Linked DNA regions of Cricetulus griseus. The protein of the gene in region 3 purifies or fractionates together with the protein of the main gene of each other region. This does not show direct contact. Links are inferred from orthologs where the notes say so. Each region holds a gene or a part of one and is shown on either strand. Other genes may lie near its edges. The genes, in order: Eya3, Cnot1 and Fhl2.

The links.
Region 1: the proteins of Fhl2 (region 3) and Eya3 purify together in Homo sapiens (affinity purification with mass spectrometry; 3 studies listed by BioGRID and IntAct, with this or other methods). This does not show direct contact. The link is inferred for Cricetulus griseus from reciprocal best matches to the Homo sapiens genes FHL2 and EYA3.
Region 2: the proteins of Fhl2 (region 3) and Cnot1 purify together in Homo sapiens (affinity purification with mass spectrometry; 3 studies listed by BioGRID and IntAct, with this or other methods). This does not show direct contact. The link is inferred for Cricetulus griseus from reciprocal best matches to the Homo sapiens genes FHL2 and CNOT1.

Annotation. Positions count from the first base shown.
Region 1 is NC_048595.1:20,577,801-20,581,449, forward strand, and holds part of Eya3 (eyes absent homolog 3), read right to left. Parts: intron 2,946-3,649; coding exon 2,762-2,945; intron 333-2,761; coding exon 196-332; intron 1-195. UniProt on the Homo sapiens protein: Tyrosine phosphatase that specifically dephosphorylates 'Tyr-142' of histone H2AX (H2AXY142ph). 'Tyr-142' phosphorylation of histone H2AX plays a central role in DNA repair and acts as a mark that distinguishes between apoptotic and repair responses to genotoxic stress.
Region 2 is NC_048596.1:171,908,653-171,912,301, forward strand, and holds part of Cnot1 (CCR4-NOT transcription complex subunit 1), read right to left. Parts: intron 3,081-3,649; exon of another isoform or gene 2,837-3,080; intron 2,668-2,836; exon of another isoform or gene 1,434-2,667; intron 596-1,433; coding exon 463-595; intron 1-462.
Region 3 is NW_023276807.1:5,338,666-5,343,020, reverse strand, and holds the start of Fhl2 (four and a half LIM domains protein 2), read right to left. Parts: upstream 2,911-4,355; 5' UTR 2,600-2,910; intron 1-2,599. UniProt on the Homo sapiens protein: May function as a molecular transmitter linking various signaling pathways to transcriptional regulation. Negatively regulates the transcriptional repressor E4F1 and may function in cell growth.

The DNA.
Region 1 (3,649 bases), on a different chromosome or scaffold from region 3:
AAGTTAAGTTGTATACGCAGAAGGATTTTCTTTTACTTACTTTTTTTTCCTCTTGGCTAATTAACGCCAGCCCCCGGCCCCAGGAATTCAAGTGGACACAACATACAATAACATTATCTCTGCAAATTGGAGACATGCACTTGACTGGAAGTAAGGAAAACAGAATAGGTAACTCCAGTGAGTTTCTTCACATACTTCTAATTCGCTGTCCTGGGAGGAACCGGCATCAGCTTTCCTCTTGCCCCGGTTCTTGACAGTCATATTCTTCCTGGACTGATCATCAGCGTCTTTATTTGGTGTAGTTTGGGACAAAGATGGGCTTGTAGATGAATCTATTGAAAGGAAAAGTAAGATACAAACTGTCAGCAGTCACAAGCTATGAGACCCATAGTAAGGAGAGGGGTCAGCATGAGGAGCAATAAAAAAACAAAATAAAAAACCAGGGTTTAAAAATAAGAGAGAAGCCCCATATACCACAATCTGGCTGGGAGTCTGAAGAACTGCCTACAGAGACAATATCTTCCTACATCAATGGTTCGACCTTCCTAATTTGGGGGCCTTTAATACAGTTCCTCATGTTGTAGTGACCCCCAAACAAAAAAATTATTTTCATTGCTACTTTATAACTGCAATTTTGCTACTTTTATGAATCTTAAAGTAAATATCTGTGTTTTCCAATGGTCTTAGGTGACCCCTGTGAGGGTCACTGGACAACACTAAGGGCTTATGACTGACATGTTGAGAATCACTGGCCTTCAGAGACAGTATCTGACTTCCTAAAGACATCCTCAAAGGGCAGCGAACAATAAATTGTGCCTACTTATGGCCAGAGTTTAATTGTACTAGCACCCTTCTCTCATCCTTAAAGCTAAACAACACACCTTATGAAAAGCACTTACAATTTCAGTTATGAGGAAAATGCCCTTGACTGAAAGATGGCTTAGAGCACTTGTTCCTTTTGCGGAGACTTGGATTTAGTTCCAGCCACTACCTGTAACCCAGAGCCCCTGCACCTCCAGTTCCAGGGAGCCCGAAGCCCTCTTCTGACCTTAGAGGGCAGCAGAAAAGCACTGGTATACATACATGTAGGCATATAAAACACACACAAATAATATAAATAAATCTAAAAGAAAATTTAAAGAGAAATAAATCAGCTTTACAGTTTTTAAAAAAATTATTATTGTTATTTTATATGTATGTTTTGCCTGCATGTAAGTCTGTGCACCACACATATGCAGTGTCCCAGGAAGTTAGAGAGGACATCAGATCCTATGGAGCTGATGGAGTTCCAGACAGTTGTGAGCTGCCATGTGGGTGCTGGGAATTGAACCCAGCTCCTCTAGAAGAACAGTCAGTGCTCTTAACTGTGGAGCCATCTCTAGTGCAAAATAGAAGAACTAATCTCTAACCTTTGGTTTTTTTTTTTTGTTGTTGTTTTTTTGTTTGTTTGTTTTTTGAGATATGGGCTCACTATGTGGACCAGGCTGGCCTAGAACTCACAGATATCTGACTGCTTTAGCCTCCTAAGTCTAAGTGTCAAAGGTGTTTGCCACCACATCCAGCTTTTTTTTTTTTTTTTTTTTTAAATTTATTATGTATACACTCTTCTTCCTGCATGCCAGCCAAGGGCATCAGCTCTCATTCAAGGTGGTTATGAACTACCATGTGGTTGCCGGGAATTGAACTCAGGGCCTCTGGAAGAACAGTCAGTGCTCTTAACCACTGAGCCATCTCTCCAGCCCCACATCCAGCCTTTTTACTTAATATTTAAACTTTACTTAAAATTTAAGTTTTGTTTGTTTGTTTGTTTATTTGTTTTTCAAGACAGGGTTTCTCTGTGTAGCTTTGGAGGCTGTCCTGGACCTCGCTCTGTAGACCAGGCTGGACTCAAACTCACAGAGATCCTCCTGCCTCTGCCTCCCGCCTCCCGCCTCCCACTTCCCGCCTCCTGCCTCCTGCCTCCCGAGTGCAAGGATTAAAGGTGTGCACCACCACCTGGCAAGTTTTGTTTATTCTTTAAACTTTATTCTTTGAGCAATGTGGCTTAGACACAAAATCATTGTAAAGCCACCTACGTGCAGTTCTCCCTTGAGGAGTCACAGCTTCGAAGCTGTGTAATCTTTCCCAAGCATTCTAATTCCCACACTTACACTTGTGAAGCATGTACTCTCCCTGATTTTAACTAACTTACAAATTTTGCTCACTTTGGCTGATTGTAAAGTTCTATAGCATAATAAAGAATTAGGTTTTATGCAAATGAGAAGTCCCTAAGTAGAAGGGAACTCTTCAGGCTGCTGATGGCAGTACAGGCAGAGCCATGCTTCCCAGTGCCACTCACAAGCAGTGTCTAGCCTTGTGAGTCAAATGTTAGGACAACTGGGAAAGGACTGTAGCTGTTCTTGGAATCTTAAGGAAATTTAAGACACAGAAACTCCTGCTCTGAGTTCCTAGCAGGAATCTAAGACATGCCTGGATTAAAACTGGAGCCCTGCAACCTCCAACAAATATACCCTTAGTCTGAAGAGCCCTGGTGAGTGTGTTACACTTACTGGGAGGGCAGAGTATGCACTAGAAACATCTTCTCACTGTTGGGACTTTTCTGTTCTCAGCGTCTACAGACATTCTGCCAGTTTCTCATCAGTCTGTTTGCAAAGTTTAAACTTGGAAACGGAAACCAACTTATCCCAGAACAAAATCATTTTTACCATCACTTGGAAACGCTGTTGGATGCAGTGTCCTTAATCCAGCTTTCAGCACTCACCAGAGGGAAGTCTCTGTGTGGCTGGTGCAGGTACCATAGCACTAGGCTTCTCTGTCTGGTACGTGGTAGCTGCTAATGCAGTGTTCTCAGCATCACTGTTAGTCTGGCCTGTGACTCCAAAGCTGGAGCTGGGGTAGCAGGACTGGTACTGATTCTGTCCAAGGATAGTATAGGTAGGATAATCCTGTGGACCAAAGGGAGGAAAACACGACCATTACAAGAGGTATAAACACAAGAGGCTTTTTCTTCTCTATTAGTCATAATTATTTTCCTAAAATATTGTCTTCTTTATCTACCTACCTAGTCGTAGGTCCCAAGAAATCAATGATTTTCAAAATGCAGACACCTGAGTACAGATGCATCATCTAAGTTGACAAGTGAGTTTGGTCAAACACACTTCAGAAGTAAGTAGCTATAGACACTAGCCTTAGGAGACCAAAAAGAAAAGAGCCACACAGGCTACATGGAGGACAGCTAGGAATTCAGCAAAAACATTGGACCACTGTGGTGGCATGTGAACTCAGCTCAGTAGACAAACAGGAGGAGCAATGCAAGTTTGAGGCCTGAAATATGGTGTATCCCAGAACAGCAAAGGTACATATAGTGAGGCCCTATTTCAAAATAACAACCCATCCACCCAGAACAAAACAGCACCCTCTCAACCCCAAGGTAATTGTGCACTTAAGAAAGTACAGACACAGCAAGAGTAGGGCAGTGAGACGCAGAAGGTCAATCAGAGAAGGTAAACTGTAGCCAAAAAACAGTTGGTGGAGACAGCAATGATCGTAGCAGTTGCTGCAGAGAAAGTCTGAGCATGTTAACAATTAAACAAACTTGAACACTGAAGATGCTATAGTGATCATCTAAGCACATGTAATATAACAGTGA
Region 2 (3,649 bases), on a different chromosome or scaffold from region 3:
CTAGTTGCAATGCTGTGTTCTTTATTTCCTTGGGGCAAAGATTAAGGACTGAAGCCTTTGTTGCAGCTTTAGACATAATTACAAACAAAATGGTACTTTGTCATCCAAGCATGCATTAAACACAACAGTTCAGATGTTGTGAACATCTGAGAACAATGGGCACTAGTATTTATTGAGGTGAACAGGTAAATTAAATCTTTTTTGTTTTATTGAGGGTTTCTTTGTGTAGCACTGGCTATCCTGGAACTCAGAGATCTGTCTGCCTCCCGAGTGCTGGGATTAAAGGGGTGTGCCACCACACCTAACATACATTAAAATCTTTAAGGTATGTGTACCTCACTGTACTATGTACCATATGCATATTAAACAACAGAAAACAGTTTGCTCCTAGTTTCTCCTCCTTAAAACCTTAAAGGGAAGTCCATAGTGCCCTTTTAAGGCATCTTGACAATGATCTCTTACCTTGTGATCTGTTCCTGGATTGCCTCAGTGTTTGCCTCAGCAAAAAGGTACAGCATGGTGCAGCTGAAGTAGTGAGTGTGGCTGTTTGGGTACCGCAGCTGGTTTGCAATTGCATTTAAGAAAAGATACCGGCCTAAAAATGAAGGAAATGAGATTTTGGGTTTACTCTGAAAGGCCAATATGGGAGACAAATGTTCTGTTTCTGAAGGGGACTGATATACCAGGGAACTCACTTTTAACCACACAAATAAGAAAATCAGCATGGCCTTGTGCAAGGATGACATGAAAATCTGTGAAGGTTATTCTAATTCTGTGGTTTACTAGTGGTTCTCTGGATCCCACTGTTTTTGCTTCTGTAGGTTTTATTTGCAAAACTTTCCATGTTATGAATTAGCGAAACTCTTACACACTTGTTTTTGTCTTTTGTTTTTTGAGACAGGGTTTATCTGTGTAGTCTTGGCTGTCCTGGAATTCTGTAGATCCAAGAGAATTCAGGAGTCATGCACCCACCACCATCCAGCCTTACATACTTGTTTTTATAAAAAGACTGTGCTTAACCTGTTAATAAAAATGTTTTACTGAAATTCTTAAGGGGCTGGAGAGATGGCTCAGTGGTTTAAGAGCATTGACTGCTCTTCCAGAGGACCTGGGCTCAATTCCCAGCACCCACACAGCAGTTAACAATTGTCTGTAAACTCCTGTTCCAGGGAATAGAACACCCTTCACAGATGCTCGTGTAGGCAAACAACAATGCAAATACATAAATTAAGAGGGAGGGAGGGCTACCATTTTACATTCTACAGATTTCCTTTAATGTCTCAATAGTGGAGACCTAGTTCAGCACTGTCTCACCATCCAACCAGCTAAAACATTCTATTTCATCTAGCACTTAGAAAACTGCTGTGGAGGGGTGGGGCGAGGAGCAGAGTGACTGAAGTGGCGCTGGGAGCGGCTGTCGGATGCCGGAGGAGGGGCGGACCAGAAAGATGAGCCTGAAGTCTGAACGCTGGGAAATTCATGTGGCTCAATCTGAGCTCCTATGCAAGAAAGGATGTAGTTACTACGGGCACCCCTGCCTGGCAGGGTTTCTATTCTAAGTGCTAGAGGGAGGAGTACCACAAGGCCCACCAGAAGCAGATCCAAGAGGACTGACTGGGAGCTAGCAGAAAGGCCAGCGGGAAGAGGAAGAGGCCTTTGCTAGCAGTCAGAGCAGCCAAGGAGCCCAGTCCCTCACTTTCTCCAAGTTTGAGGAAAAGAAAACCAATGAGAAGACCCACAAGGTCACCACAGTGAAGAAGTTCTTCAATGCCTCTTCCAGGGTTGGATCCAAGAAGGCAGACATTCAGGAAGCCAAAGCTCCCAGACCCTCCATAAACAGGCAAATCAGCATTGAGACGGATAGAATAACTAAAGAGTTCATAGACTTTCTCAAGACACAGACAGGCCAAGAAATCTATAAACAGATGAAGATGTTCTTGGAAGCAATGCATTACAAAAGGGATTTAAGCATTGAGGAACAGTCAGAATGTACTCAGGACTTATACCAGAATGTGGCTGAAAGAATGCAGACTCGTGGAAAAGTGCCTCCAGATAATGGATTAGATGGAAAAGCACATTATGACCCGTCTCTATAAATTTGTGTTCTGCCCAGAGACTACTGATAATGAGAAAAAAGAGCTTGCCATTCAAAAGAGGATCAGGGCTTTGCACTGGGTGACACCTCAGATGCTCTGTGTCCCTGTCAATGAGGAAATCCCTGACGTGTCTGACATGGTGGTGAAAGCGATCACAGACATCATTGAGATGGACTCAAGCGTGTGCCTCGGGACAAGCTAGCCTGCATCATCACGTGCAGCAAGCACATCTTCAATGCCATCAGATGACCAAGAATGAGCCAGCCTCAGCTGATGACTTCCTGCCCACCCTCATCTACATCCTCCTGAAGGGCAACCCCCACCTCGGCTGCAGTCCAACATCCAGTACACCACTCGCTTCTGCAAACCCAGCCGGCTTATGACTGGCAAAGATGGCTACTATTTCACCAACCTGTGCTGTGCTGTGGCTTTCATTGAGAAATTAGAGGCTCAGTCTTTGAATTTAAGTCAGGAGAATTTTGACCGATACATGTCCGACCAGACTTCCCCAAGGAAGCAGGAGTCTGAGACCTGGTCCCCCGAAGCCTGCTTAGGTGTGAAGCAAATGTATAAGAACTTGGACCTCTGGACGGGTGTTGGTGGCTCACACCTTTAATCCCAGCACTCGGGAGGCAGAGGCAGGCGGATCTCTGTGAGTTCGAGGCCAGCCTGGTCTCCAGAGCGTGTGCCAGGATAGGCTCCAAAGCCACACAGAGAAACCCTGTTTTGAAAAACCAAAAAAGAACTTGGACCTCCTGTCTCAGTTGAATGAACGTCAGGAAAGGATCATGAATGAAGCTAAGAAACTTGAAAAAGACTTAATAGACTGGATGGACAGAATTGCCAAGGAAGTTCAAGACACTGCTGAGAAATACCCACTTGAGATTAAGCCCCCAAACCAACCATTAGCAGCCATTGACTCTGAAAATGTAGAGAATGACACCCCCCGCCCACCCCTTGCAGCCTCAGGTATACGCAGGATGATGTCTGCTCATGGCCATATTTACTTGGGGCTGATTTCAGGGAGCTTCTGTGTTCCACTGTTCAGGTCTGGGATACGAATTAACTGCTTAAAACGTCAAAGTATTTTTAAGGTACAGTTTTAGGAATTGTTTTATTTTTTCCTAGCAGGGGAAGCGTGATGGGGAATGTTCTGTGTATATTTATTTTATTGATTGTTAAATAAAATACTGTTTGGCCAATGAGACATTAAGTTAGACGGGACTAGGAGTCAAAGAGGATTCGGGGAAATGTAATAGAGAAGTGGGTGAATTATGTTTCCATCTTTTCTGTCCTCCCTGATTTTCCCATGGGCTTCCTCTGTGGTGGACACTGTTGTTGGTTTGGGGCAAATTCTTCCGTTTAGAGGATAAAACAGATAGATGCTACAGAGTCTATGTTGAAATGAATTCAATGTTCCCACACTCTCCCAGTGTGAAATCATTTTGTAGTTGTAAAGATAGAAAATGTTAATTAGTACATAAATATGTAAAATTGTAACTATGTAAAAAATAAAGCTGGGGAGGGATGTTGTCTGCCAAAAGAAAGAAAGA
Region 3 (4,355 bases):
GGCCCCTCTCCTAAGTTCTTTCATTTTTATTTTTTTACATAGTGTGTACATGTCTGCATGAGTGTGTGCAGGTGCTCATGAAAGCCAGAAGAAGATATAGGCTCTTTTGTAGTAGAAGTTACCGGGGTTCATGAATGGTGTGTCCAACTCAAGCCCTCTGTAAGTACTCCTAGCTGATGGACCAGCTCTCTAACCTCTAGACTTCACTCCCTACCTCCCAACATTTACCCAAGGATGACCAAGCTTCCAACACAAGAGTCTTGAAGAAAAATCATATCTGAACCACAGCTGCTTACAAATGGCTAAGCTGGTGTGTGGTAGTTTATATTAGAGTGATCCTTGTGGGCTCATATGTTCGAATGCTTAGCCACCAGGAAGTGGAATTCTCCGAAGGATTAGAAGGATTAGGAGGTGTGGTCTTGATGGAGGAAGTGTGTTGCTAAGGGTAGGCTTTGAGGTTTCAAAAGCCCATGCCAGACTCAGCCCCATTTTTCTTCCTGCTACTTGTGGATCATAAAATAGAACTTTCAGCTACGTCTCCAGCATAAGTCTGCCTGAGTGCCACCATGCTCTCTGCTGTGACAGTGACAGTAATGGACTAAGCCTCTGAAACTGTAACCAGCCCTCTACTAAATGCTCTCTTTTATAAGAGTTGCCTTGGTCGTGGTGTCTTCTCACAACAATAGAACAGTGACTTGGACGTGGTGTGTTAGGTGCTGGGTAGCCAGCCCTCTGTGCAGAACAGGGGGAGAATCCACTCCTCTTGGCTTTCTGAATTTTTTTCTTCTATATCCTGCTACGCATTTCTCTCTGAAGTTGAGATAGTGCTTAGTATTGAAGGCATTTAACAGTCTTAGGTAAAAACATGCCGCATAGGGCCTCAACAAAATATTCATACAGTGAGGCCCAGTACAGAGTAGAAATCTCCAGATACAGCTCTCAGGGCTACAATCTACATACTGGGAAACTTTGGACATCAGAGTTACTTCGACCATTCTGTTTCAGTTTTCTTATCTGTGAACAAGAGGCTATAAAATCTACATATGCTGCATATAATATGCAGGATATATATGCATCTATATACACACATATGTGTATATATGTATGCTGGGAAAGCGTCTTTGTTATCTGATTCTCTCGGAGGAAACTGAGCAACCAATAGATTTTGTGAATTAGGCAAGGCCATGTGGGCTAAGAGGTCCCAGTGTTAATTCTGGCATCTTGGTTCTGTTCCAGGTGCATCTGCCAACCAAGCTTTCTACACCTATCCATGTTGTATCTGTTAGGCCGGACAGCAAGGAGGTAGAACAAAGAGAAGCCAGGATGGGGGCCACCAATGCAACACACTATTCTGTTAAAAACTAGGAGAGAGATGAATCTGAAAAAAAGAGTGAGAAAAATGACTGTTTTAAATTTGGTTTTATTGACCTTTAGGTAATGGGTTGGGAACTCTAAGCCTTAGGGCAAATTGGGTTTTTTTGTGGGAGGGAGAGGGGGGCTTGAGGAATTCGTGGTCATTCCTGTAATTGCAACACTTTGGAGGCTGAGGCAGGAGGATAGGCACCAGTGTGAGTTCACCTGAGATGGCATGGTAAACTCCAGGCTTTCCCAGCTACAGAGTAAGGATTTATCTCAAACGATAACCACAGTAACACTACCACAAGCAACCTTCCTCACATACATTACTGCAAAATATACATATAAGCAGAGCAACACCACGACATGACACACATTTAGAGTAGTGTTTTGAAGACAATCTCATCATGACTGTAAGCCCAAATTGTAGTTCATTACTTCCTAAAAATATGTGCAAGAAAGTGCACGCCACAAGTTGGCTTTGCCAAAGACAGCTGCATATTTCATAAAATGCCTGCTTCGGTGAGTTCCAGAGACACAACTGGAGACTATCAAGCAAATACGACCAATGCTTCATTTAAAACCAGAAACAGCATTGAAGCGTTTCTTTCCACAAGACATCACAAGACTGCAATCTATCAGTTAGAATTCTGTTCATTTCAAAGCGTTATTATTATTATTTTTCTTTAACCCTATGGCTCAGGTTTTAATTTTGTGGATGAGTCAAGATGTGTGGTCACAGGCAAACTCCCATTTCTTCCCAAGGGAAATGCCTGGCCATCCACGTGCTGACCAGCGTGTCACCTCCCTTCCATAGACTTCAGAGACCAGTTCCACTTTGCCTCTGGGGGAGACTCATCGTCTCTCACCACCTGGCGGCGACTCACTCCTCTAGGGCTGTAGCCCTCTCTCTGGACACCAATGGTCCCCTTCCCCACCATTCCCAAGTCAGACTCTCCTGTGCTCGGGTCCCTAGCACTCATGATTCTAGTCCTCTCTGCCCCGCATCCGCTCTTCCTGTAGATCAACTCCCCGGTTCTGAGGTCTCCCCTTCAAGACTCCCCTTCTTCTCTCATGTTTCCGGTCCACCGTCTCCATGACTCTCCGTATCCCCTCCTTCCCCTTCATTTCGAGTCCCCTTTCTGAGTATCCCCTGCCCAGCTAGGCTCTCCTCTCCCCGGATCTACGCTCTCCGTTTTAGGTCCCCATCCCTGGTGTCCTCTGCAAAACAGGGCTCTCCTACCTCCAGGATCTGTTCCTCCCGTTTTGGGTCCCTACAGGGGTGCGGTCTGCACAGCCCTGCTCGGGTCTGCCGGGTCTCCGCCCCACGGTCAGGGTACGCTGGCCACCGGTGTCTCTCCACGCGTGCTAGGGCAGCTGTCTGCTGGCTATTCTTGTGTACCAGGTCCGGCTGTGGACTGGGCGGCGGCAGGAGTACTCGCGCAAGACGGGGCCGGGGTCTAGGGCACTCAGAGGACTGTTGCGCGGTGGTGGTGGCGGCGGCGGCGGCTCAGCAGGCGGAGTGCAGCCGGCTCGGCTCCCGCCCTCGAGAACCCCCGCCGAGTCATTTGACCATATAAGGACACACGCGCAGGGGCGGCGGGCTGGGCGCGCGGGCCAAGGGAGCAGGGCGCGGTGGCGAGCGCCCCTCGATCGCCTGTCGTCGCGTGTTCCCCCCTGCTGCAGCTGCTGCGGACCCTTTGTTTGACTTAACGTTCTTCTTTACTTCCCGGTGTGTGGCGCACAGAGTCAAGCCTCCCTGCGCCCTGGCCTCCGCTCCAGGGGCCAGTGGCAGTGCAGTGCAGAGGGTTGTGGCCGCTGTCACCTAAGGGCAGAATGACATGGGTCTATTCTCACCAGGACCCTCCTCTGGGTTGCTGGGTCTGCGCCTGGTCGCCGTCTGGGCAAGCATGGGTGGGCCATTTGGAGATTTGGGGGAGGAACGATGTGTGCGTAGGGCATGCACTGGCATGGTAGTTTCCCCGGCCTTCCCTTGCAAATACCTCTCCGTGGTGGAATGAACCCAACCAATGACGTAAAGAATCTTTAATGACTCTGTTCCACCAGGTAGCTGACTGAGAGAAGGTTGAGAGCTGTTTAGCTGTTGACATTCAGTGGCTCCATGCAGGCAGAAAGCAAATGAAGGGCTTAATGTGTCCTTCATGCTCAAAGCCAAGGTCTTCTGCACAGAGCTGGCCCTTAGTAGGGACAGGAGGCAATGTCCAACATGGTGGTGGAAGGTACCCGCATCCCCACGTCTAGGAAGGGCAGCATCTGCTCTTGAGTAGGTGGGGGGCCCACATGCAGTGGCAGAGGCAAGGACTTCTCAGTGCTGTAACCTGACCAACAACTTAATGGAAGGATTCGTTTGGCTGCAGGGTTTATGAAGGAATACAGCTGGTCATCACTGAGATGGCATGGCCACTGTGAGAATGTCAAGTTGGTTGGTCACATTGCCTTCTCAGTCAGGAAACAGTTTAATTTCCCCTTTTCATCCAGTCTGAGAGGCCAGCTCTTGAGAGGTGCTGTCCACATTTGGGGGTCAGTCTTTGCCCCTCGGTTAAACCTCTCTGGAACTGCCCTCAAAGAGGTGTGTCTCCTAGGGGTTCCCAAGTTCAGCCAATCGACTGAAGGACCATCACAATGGTTTTGGGTGTAGGCATTCTCCAGGGGAGCTCGGGGTAACATATGTTAGAGAAGGCAGGGAGAGCTGTGGGATGGCTTTCTTCTCATTGATACTTCCTGACTGGCACCACAAGAGGATCCCCATGATGGAATCTCAGAACATGAGAGGCAAGGGGGGTCACATGACCTGTCACTTACTCGGCATCATATATATATATATATATATATATATATATATATATATATGTATATATATATATGGCCTCCCCAGGATGCTCAGCCCCTCTATGTAAAGTTAGTTATCTCAAACTGGGTGTTGGTGGCACATCCCTTTAATCCCAGCACTCGGGAGGCAGAGGCAGAAGATCTCTATG